Linked DNA regions of Cricetulus griseus. The protein of the gene in region 1 interacts with the protein of each later gene in a biochemical or structural test. Links are inferred from orthologs where the notes say so. Each region holds a gene or a part of one and is shown in the gene's direction. Other genes may lie near its edges.

Region 1 (4,229 bases):
TGCCAATGTTCTGTTCACAGAGTTTTTTCCTGTACTGTTGAGCTCAAGACTATTCCTTACTTTCTCTTCTATCAGGCTCAGTATATGTGAATTTTGTGCAGGGTGATAAAAGTGTGGACCCTGTTTGGATCTGTAGCCATCCAGTTTGACCGGCACCATTCATTAAAGATGTTGTCTTTTCCCCCATTATATTTATGACTTCTTCATCCAAAATAAGGTATCCATAAGTGTGTGGATTTATGTCTGCATCTTCAGTTTGATTCCATTAATCAACATGTATACTTTTATGCCAATACCATATTGTTTATTTTACTATAGCTCTGTAGTACAGTTTGAGGAGGTTGAGAATAATGACACCTGCAGTAGTTGTTTTATTATTCAGGATTGTTTTAGCTATTCTGGTGTGTGTGTGTGTGTGTGTGTGTGTGTGTGTGTGTGTGTGTGTGTGTTTCCATATAAAGCAAAAATTGCCCTATCAAGATTTTTGAATTGTGTTGAAATTTTGATTATGATTGCACTGAATCTGCAGATTGGTTTTGGCAAGATGGATATTTTTACTGTATTAATCCTACTGATTGGTGAGAATGGGAGATCTTCCCATCTTCAATTTTTTTCTTCAGTGTTTTAAAGCTCTTATCACACAAGTCTTCCACTTGTCTGGTTAGAGTTATGCCAAGATATTTTATATTATTTGAGATGATTGTGAAAGGTGTTGTTTCCCTGATTTCTTTCTCAGTCCATCTGTCACTTGTATATAGGAAGGCAGGGTCCCAGGGATTGCTGGCTCAAGTTGGAGGTTGAGCTAACAGGAGTAGTGTGTGTGTGTGTGTGTGTGTGTGTGTGTGTGTGTGTGTGTGTGTGTGTGTGTGTGTGTGTAGGTAGGTAGGAGGAGAAGAACTGCATGATGGGAATGAAGAAGCCAGAGAGGCTGAATCAGGAGGTGAAATACAGAACGGGGGATGAAACTGGGAATTTCTCATTCAAGCAGTCCAGGAGGCAAAGGAGAATCAGGCTGAAAGTTGGGAAAAAAGCCAGGTGGATTGAGAAATATGGTGACAGAGTTTCCACAGTTAACTGTTCAAGCAAGAGTAACACATTACAGGAGCAATGAGACCAGTGGCGGCCTTCACAGAGACTTTTTAGCAGAGTGAGTAAGGCCTTTGCCAGAGTGCACGGGAAAGCCAGAGGGTAGTGAAAGTGCTTTATCTAAAGCTGTCGGCAGGGCTGAGTGTGAAAAGCGGAGTTGATGGGCTTGTCATGGAAACAGAAACCCTTTCGGAAATAAAAGCCACTTAACTCCCCCCCTCCCCCCCCCCCCCCCGCCCATCACATCTGATTAAAAGAAAAAAGAAAGAAAGGAAGGAAGGAAGGAAGGAAGGAAGGAAGGAAGGAAGGAAGAAAGGTAAGAAGAAAAGAAAAGAAATCCCAACAACAAAAACATCAAGAGTCATTAGAGGACGATAATTCCAGGGTGACTTGGTACGATGGTCACTAGCTGGAAATTCTCTGCCTTCCAAAGAAGGAAGCCAGCATTCATTCCCACGATCCTGCCACCAAGCTGAGGACCTGCTGACCCAAGTTCCTTCTTTTCTTGCTATTGGCTAACACTGTTCATAAAACAGAGTTGGCCGTTTCACTCTTGCTTTAAATGAACAAGCTGCATCGTATGGGGAGACAGCCAGGAGAGAGGGCAGAGTCGGAAGGCAGGGCAAGCGGGAGGAGGCCGGGCGCAGAAGGAAGCACACAGGTGGGTTGTACCGTTTGTTCATTTGTCACTCAGAATTGTGCTTTGATGGCTCCTACAGGAATGACGTGTGGAATGTAAGCTTAATTTGTTCAACTATCAGTTCTACCACATATGTTTTTTTGTTTTTGTTTTTGGCTTGTGCATATGATTTTAGCTTCCTTTCATAGCTGCATCTGTAAAATACAAACACGTTTATGTTCACTCCTTCCAGTAAACCTTGTGCCTTATCCATGCTGCCATGAATTCTGCAGAGCCACAATTGCGATTGCTATATAAGGCATTGATATTTTCCCTCCTTTGGTCATTTTATCCCATAAGGCTTTTTTTTTTTTCTACTCAAAAGTCTTGCTTTTGGAAGAGGATTGTATTTGAGAAGGTAGATTTCAGTGGTTTTGTTCAGAGGTGCAGTGAACATGAACACGTGTGCTGGAATCGGTTTGTTTTGGAGCACCCATCTTGGTTTTTCAGCTGGGGCTGCACCTCAGTCAGAATTGCCTGCATCTCAGCAGATTAGAGAACAATGCCTCAAACAGCTTAAACCTGGTTTCCTGGTATTAACCAGTCTTTAATGGGTTTTGTTTGCTATTACTTCTCAGTTGTTATTAATAAATGGTCTGTTCTTAAAGAAATGGTTGTTTGAAAAACCTTCTTGTCGATACCACATACCTGAGAGTAATAATGGTGGGGAAATGAGATGCAATTAAAGGCAAGTCTCTCTTTTACTATGTAAGTAATCTAACTTAGAGAGCTAATTTGTGGGGCATATAAGAACTTTAGAAATTTCCGTTGTCTACTTCAACTCCTGAGATTAGAACCTATTTGAAAGCTTCAATTAATTAATGTTTGAAGGAAGTAGATTTGTTTCTATGGCTTGGGAAGGTAGTTGTGGGAGAAGTTGAGGATTTAGAAGGCTCTAAATATGTTAACATTAAGCCCGGTGGGCACTAGTACCTGCCAAGGTAGCCCAACTTCCTTTCTTTGTATAACTTTTCAAAGTCAGTCAAGAGATGGACATTTAATATCTGGCCATTTACAAGCACACCGAAGATACAGCAGGTGGCCAAGACTGATCTAATGGTTCACCCTGCTTTCCAAAAGAAATTATTTTCATTGGACCCCAATGTCCCCCTAAGAATAAAACAGACTGACTTCATATCAAAAGACTGGACAGATAACGGCACCTAAATCAGGCTGAAGCAGTTCTGCCTGTGCTATGAGCTTCCCACAGGCATATACTTGACCTTAATTTGATCAATAGCGTGTCAAACAAATATCTTCTTGTTTTCATCCCATGGAGGAGAGTGTCTGTTTAGCATCTTTGATAAGCACAAGCATTTATGTAGCACTTTACCATATAGAAACATGTTTTCATATGTCTGTTCATTTGACCTGTGGAACAATCTTTATCTATAGAGAGGGTATTTCTCATTTTTGAGATGGCAGAAATGAAGCCCTGGGATTGTAGGATATTTCCCAAGTTAGAACCAAACTGATGAGTCTAGAATATATGGCTACATCCATACAACCCCAATAATAACTATTTTATGAAATTGATTAAATGAATTTTGTTACATCTGTATATTATTATATAGTTAAATGATGGCATTGGCACTATATCACTTAGAAAAAAAAGAGATGACCATGTCTCAGTGGCAAGAAAAAGCAGGATACAAAATAGCATTATAACATGCTCTCTCTCTTTTTTTCAAAATCCTTATCTGTATTTAGAAAAAGAGAAAAAGAAGTGTATGTACAGAATTTTAGACTTGTCTAACTGATAAAACTTGTCATTTCCACAACTCAGCTTAATATCTTTTTGCCACCTTAATTTAATATAGCAATGCAACAAAAACAAAAGTAAACTAAACAGAATTGAATAGAATTGACTGTGTCTGTCTGGTTCACACTCCCGATAAAGTGGCCCCAACTCTTTTTTCCAATTGACTAGAAAGAAGCCTTGTATTCGGTTCTGAGTTTTGCCTATGATTGTTACATGTTGTGTTGTAGTTGTGGCTAATGTGGACAACACACTTGGTATGTCAGGCACAGAGCTGATTGGGCTGCTCTCATCCTCTTCGTTTACTCTCACTCCCTCAGCAGATGAAGGTTTTAAAGTTTAGAGGGGTGAAATGACAGAAAAGCAGAGTTGAGACTTGAAAAATTGAGACTCTATCTACCTGGCACCTGAGAGGACCTCCTCCCTCCACAGGATGGGACTCATTACTCTGGGTCAGCATCAGCTCAGGAATTGTTAATACCCATTACCTTGTGTATTCCAGACCCCAGGATCTGGCCTGCTTTTCTTGTTTGTCCTGAACAGAAGGCATTAAAGACATGCTGGTCCCCAAGAGCAAGCTTATAGAGGAAAAGACTCATAAGGGATAATGCAGCTACCCAGAACTTTGGCTAATGTATCAGCTTGCCTAGGATGCAGGAAGCCTGGGGTTTGATCCCCAGTGCCACATACACTGGGCTTTGGTGG
Region 2 (3,652 bases), on another chromosome or scaffold:
TGCATGTGGATATGAATGAATGAACTGAATTATTTCTAGAGATGTACGGGCCATCAGTCTTGATAGTAAAACCAACAGGACAATGTTTCATCCATCATCTAATTACTCGACAGATTTATATCGGTCACATCGTACCACTGGGTGCTGCTGACACAGACGGCCGCCTGAGGTCTGGAGATGAATTAATCTGTGTGGATGGGACACCAGTAATTGGAAAATCACACCAGCTTGTGGTCCAGCTTATGCAACAAGCTGCTAAGCAAGGCCATGTCAATCTCACAGTGAGGCGTAAAGTGGTGTTTGCTGGTATGTTTTTCATTCATTCCTTCAGACTATGCTCTGTCCCTCTCATGTCTGCCTCCTCGAGCTTCTATTTTAGCAAATGTTTGCAAATGTGATCAAGCTTAGAATTTCCAGATGGTTTGCTTCTCTCCAGCTCTGCAAAAGTGCTGTCATTCAGAGATACTTTAATATGCTATTTGCATATGCTCTAAAAAAACTTCCAGAAGAATGCCAGTTGAATATACATCTCCTGCCTCCTGCCCCCTCACCAACCAGAATGTAGCCTTCCTCTTCACTGATGATAATCCTCAATCGAAGGGTCCAGCAGGAGCTTGAGAAAAGGTCAGCTCCACAGTCAAAGAGCAGAACTTGAGTTTGGAAGGCAGAATGAGCTTGCTCTTCCTGACACAGCACCTTGCTGTGGCTTCACTGACAAAGCTGGAGAGCAAGCCAGTTCTGTGTTGGCTCTGGTTCCTCTGAAGTTCTCAAAATACCCTTTCAGGCTCCACTCAAGAAGAGCCTTGCTCCAAAGGCTTTCGGGTTCTAGCACCCTCTTCCTGCTGTGCCTGTGGCTCAGAGTGGTTACGTGTGTGCTCTTTTCTGAAAGCACGTGTCTTTATTCACCTTTGCATACAGCCTCTACTCAAAGCCTATACAACAGAATCCAGAGGAGGAAGATGACCTGTTGTGTCACTGAATTACTGAAGAAGTATGATGTGAAAGCCTATGAGTTCTCTCTAGCCTTGATACTAGTGTAGCAAATAGCTACCAGATAAAATTAACTGGGCACTTAAAAAAAATAAAAAATAAAAAACTAATGTAGCTTATTTTAAGTGATATAGAATTGAAGGATGACGTTATTAAATTCCAGTATAAAAATCTAATGGTAGTCAATTGAAAACAGTCCTAATCCACAACAGATTATATCCTTAGCACTCATCCCTGTCTCCCCCCCCCCAAATAAAATTCTTAGCATGGCATTCCATGCAGCCAGTGGTAGTCAGCTGGTTTGCTTTTGGTTTTGAGATGATTTGAAAACTATTTGATTTCCCTGTCTTAAAGTAGTAAGGTGATGTAATTTTACTTGGCTGTTTCGGTTCTATTTGAAGGACTTAAGTGTTTGGGGTATTCAGCAAGTTAGTCCTGTGCAAACATTATATTAGATAGGCAGACAGCAAGAGGAATGGGCACTGACAAGCGCTGGTAAGAGGGGCAAACAGAGTTGCCATTTAATGGTGAAAGTTTCACTTGTGGAAGTTGATAATTCTAGCAATGGATGTTGGTGACACTTACATAACAGTGTGAATACACCTATGCCCCTGAGTTACATGTAAGAACCGTGAAGTCATTCAATTTATGTTTCCCACAATTAAAAATAACTATGAAAGTAAAAACTTTGTGGAATAAATATAATCATAGCCACAACCCACCATAGTACATAATGGTTTTGATGCACCTGGTTCCACCTAAGGTGTGGACTATCTAAGAATGCTGTGCCCTACTAGCTGACAAGGCAGTAAGACTGGAAGGAAGAATGCCTAAAGTTGGGAGGAAGCTAATGCCTCTATCTCTGTGATTGTAACAGATATTTACAGCTGGGAGCTGGGGAGAGCAATTACGAGTACCTCCCACGAGGTTCTCATGAGTCCATCTATGACTACCCCTAGCAGTCTCCTACCTAATGAGAAAGTCAACCTTGAACAAAAATGTATCTGGGGGGAGGGGGAAAGATGATGAATAAGTAAGCCTATGAAGCTAGGATGGCAGCCTTCACTGGTATAGCTCACACCAAAGTCTGCTCACAGTTCCTTCCTACATAGGAGAAAGGTCATAACTGGATGTTGCTGTAGATGGATGGCATTGTGGGTTGTTTCATCGTACTGTCTCCTACATGCTATTTAGGGTTCTTCCTTGGGGGTCAATGTGCCATCAGCCTTCCTGGAGACAGACTATTATATTAATGTTTCCACAGCAAGGCTGCTTTCCACGCCTGTGTTGCAGTTGTCTGAGACACGATGCCCTCATTAGCATCTTGGTTTCTTTACAGGTGGGGAAGGTGGAAGTGGTGGCTGGGCCTATTTTCCAGGAATTTCAAATGGTTTAGACACACATCTCTCTTGCAGTCCCCAAAGCAGAGAATGAGGTGCCCTCTCCAGCTTCATCGCACCACAGTAGCAACCAGCCTGCTTCTCTGACAGAAGAGAAGCGCACACCGCAGGGCAGCCAGAACTCGCTGAACACTGTGAGCTCTGGCAGCGGCAGCACCAGCGGCATCGGCAGTGGCGGTGGTGGCGGCAGCGGCGTGGTGAGCGCTGTGCTGCAGCCCTATGATGTGGAAATTCGACGTGGGGAGAACGAGGGCTTTGGATTCGTCATCGTGTCCTCCGTGAGCAGGCCTGAAGCGGGCACGACCTTTGGTGAGTGCTAGAAGGTACAGGCTGGGCTTTCTTCTACCAGGAGGCTTCAGTAGTTAAGGATATTTGCTACTCTCGAAGAGGAGCTGGGCTTAGCTCCCAACAGAAATTCCTTAATGTTTTTTCACTTTAGATATTTGTTGGGCCTCCCCTGAAGCCCCTTTTTGGCTTTAGCTTTCTAAATGTACGCATACGATTTCTGTACACATAAGATTTATGTCAAATTTGAATAGCAGCCCCTTGGTATTGTAATAGATTATACTTTTTTTTTTTTTTTTTTGCCAGAGAAAGACTTCAGAAAGTTACTGAGTAGATGATATCATTAGTAGCAATGGCCTCAGAAAGTCATAAGGATTTTAAAAGCAGCAGTTGTTCATAAGAATACCTAGGAAAAGTAGAGATGCAAAAAGTCAAAAATGACCTGTGATACTCCCACAGCTCATGCAGGTCCCTTATCCCTACCTGAATACTGTTGAAGTTTTAAATGCTATTTTATTGTTGCTTCAGAAACTGGCTAGACTCTGAGATAAGAGTCATTTGATTTGGGGTCTTATCCAGGTCTTGGATTTCAGTCAAGTATGGATAATGTTTCATAACCTTCTGCAAGTATTAATTTTCTCCTGAGTGCATACATAAAGGTGAATAGGAACCCAGACTATTCTAAGAACACAGCCGAGTCCATGAGTCTCTTTCCTGTTAAAATGGATATGCACCCTACTTCCTGATTCAGTTCCTTGTCATCTCTCAAGCACATTGGAAGGTGATAAGAGATAGAAAGGGTTATTATACAAGCTTCAAATTTTATCTCAAATGACTTAACCCCATTGGACCTCATGGCCAGTGGTCTAGGTCACTCATTGGCTTATGTTAACAAGGGGCTACATGTCCTTAACATTTTGATCCTGTAGTACCCACGCTGTCTCCAGTTAGCCTTGATGAGTTGCTTCTTGCTAAAT

The links. The genes of interacting proteins can lie anywhere in the genome.
Region 2: the proteins of Cysltr2 (region 1) and Magi1 interact in a test that uses a peptide from one of them, tested with the Homo sapiens proteins (2 studies listed by IntAct, with this or other methods). The link is inferred for Cricetulus griseus from reciprocal best matches to the Homo sapiens genes CYSLTR2 and MAGI1.

Annotation. Positions count from the first base shown.
Region 1 is NW_023276807.1:227,541,737-227,545,965, reverse strand, and holds the start of Cysltr2 (cysteinyl leukotriene receptor 2), read left to right. Parts: upstream 1-1,378; 5' UTR 1,379-1,747; intron 1,748-4,229. UniProt on the Homo sapiens protein: Receptor for cysteinyl leukotrienes. The response is mediated via a G-protein that activates a phosphatidylinositol-calcium second messenger system.
Region 2 is NC_048601.1:50,130,278-50,133,929, forward strand, and holds part of Magi1 (membrane-associated guanylate kinase, WW and PDZ domain-containing protein 1), read left to right. Parts: intron 1-113; coding exon 114-306; intron 307-2,405; coding exon 2,406-2,699; intron 2,700-3,652. UniProt on the Homo sapiens protein: Plays a role in coupling actin fibers to cell junctions in endothelial cells, via its interaction with AMOTL2 and CDH5. May regulate acid-induced ASIC3 currents by modulating its expression at the cell surface.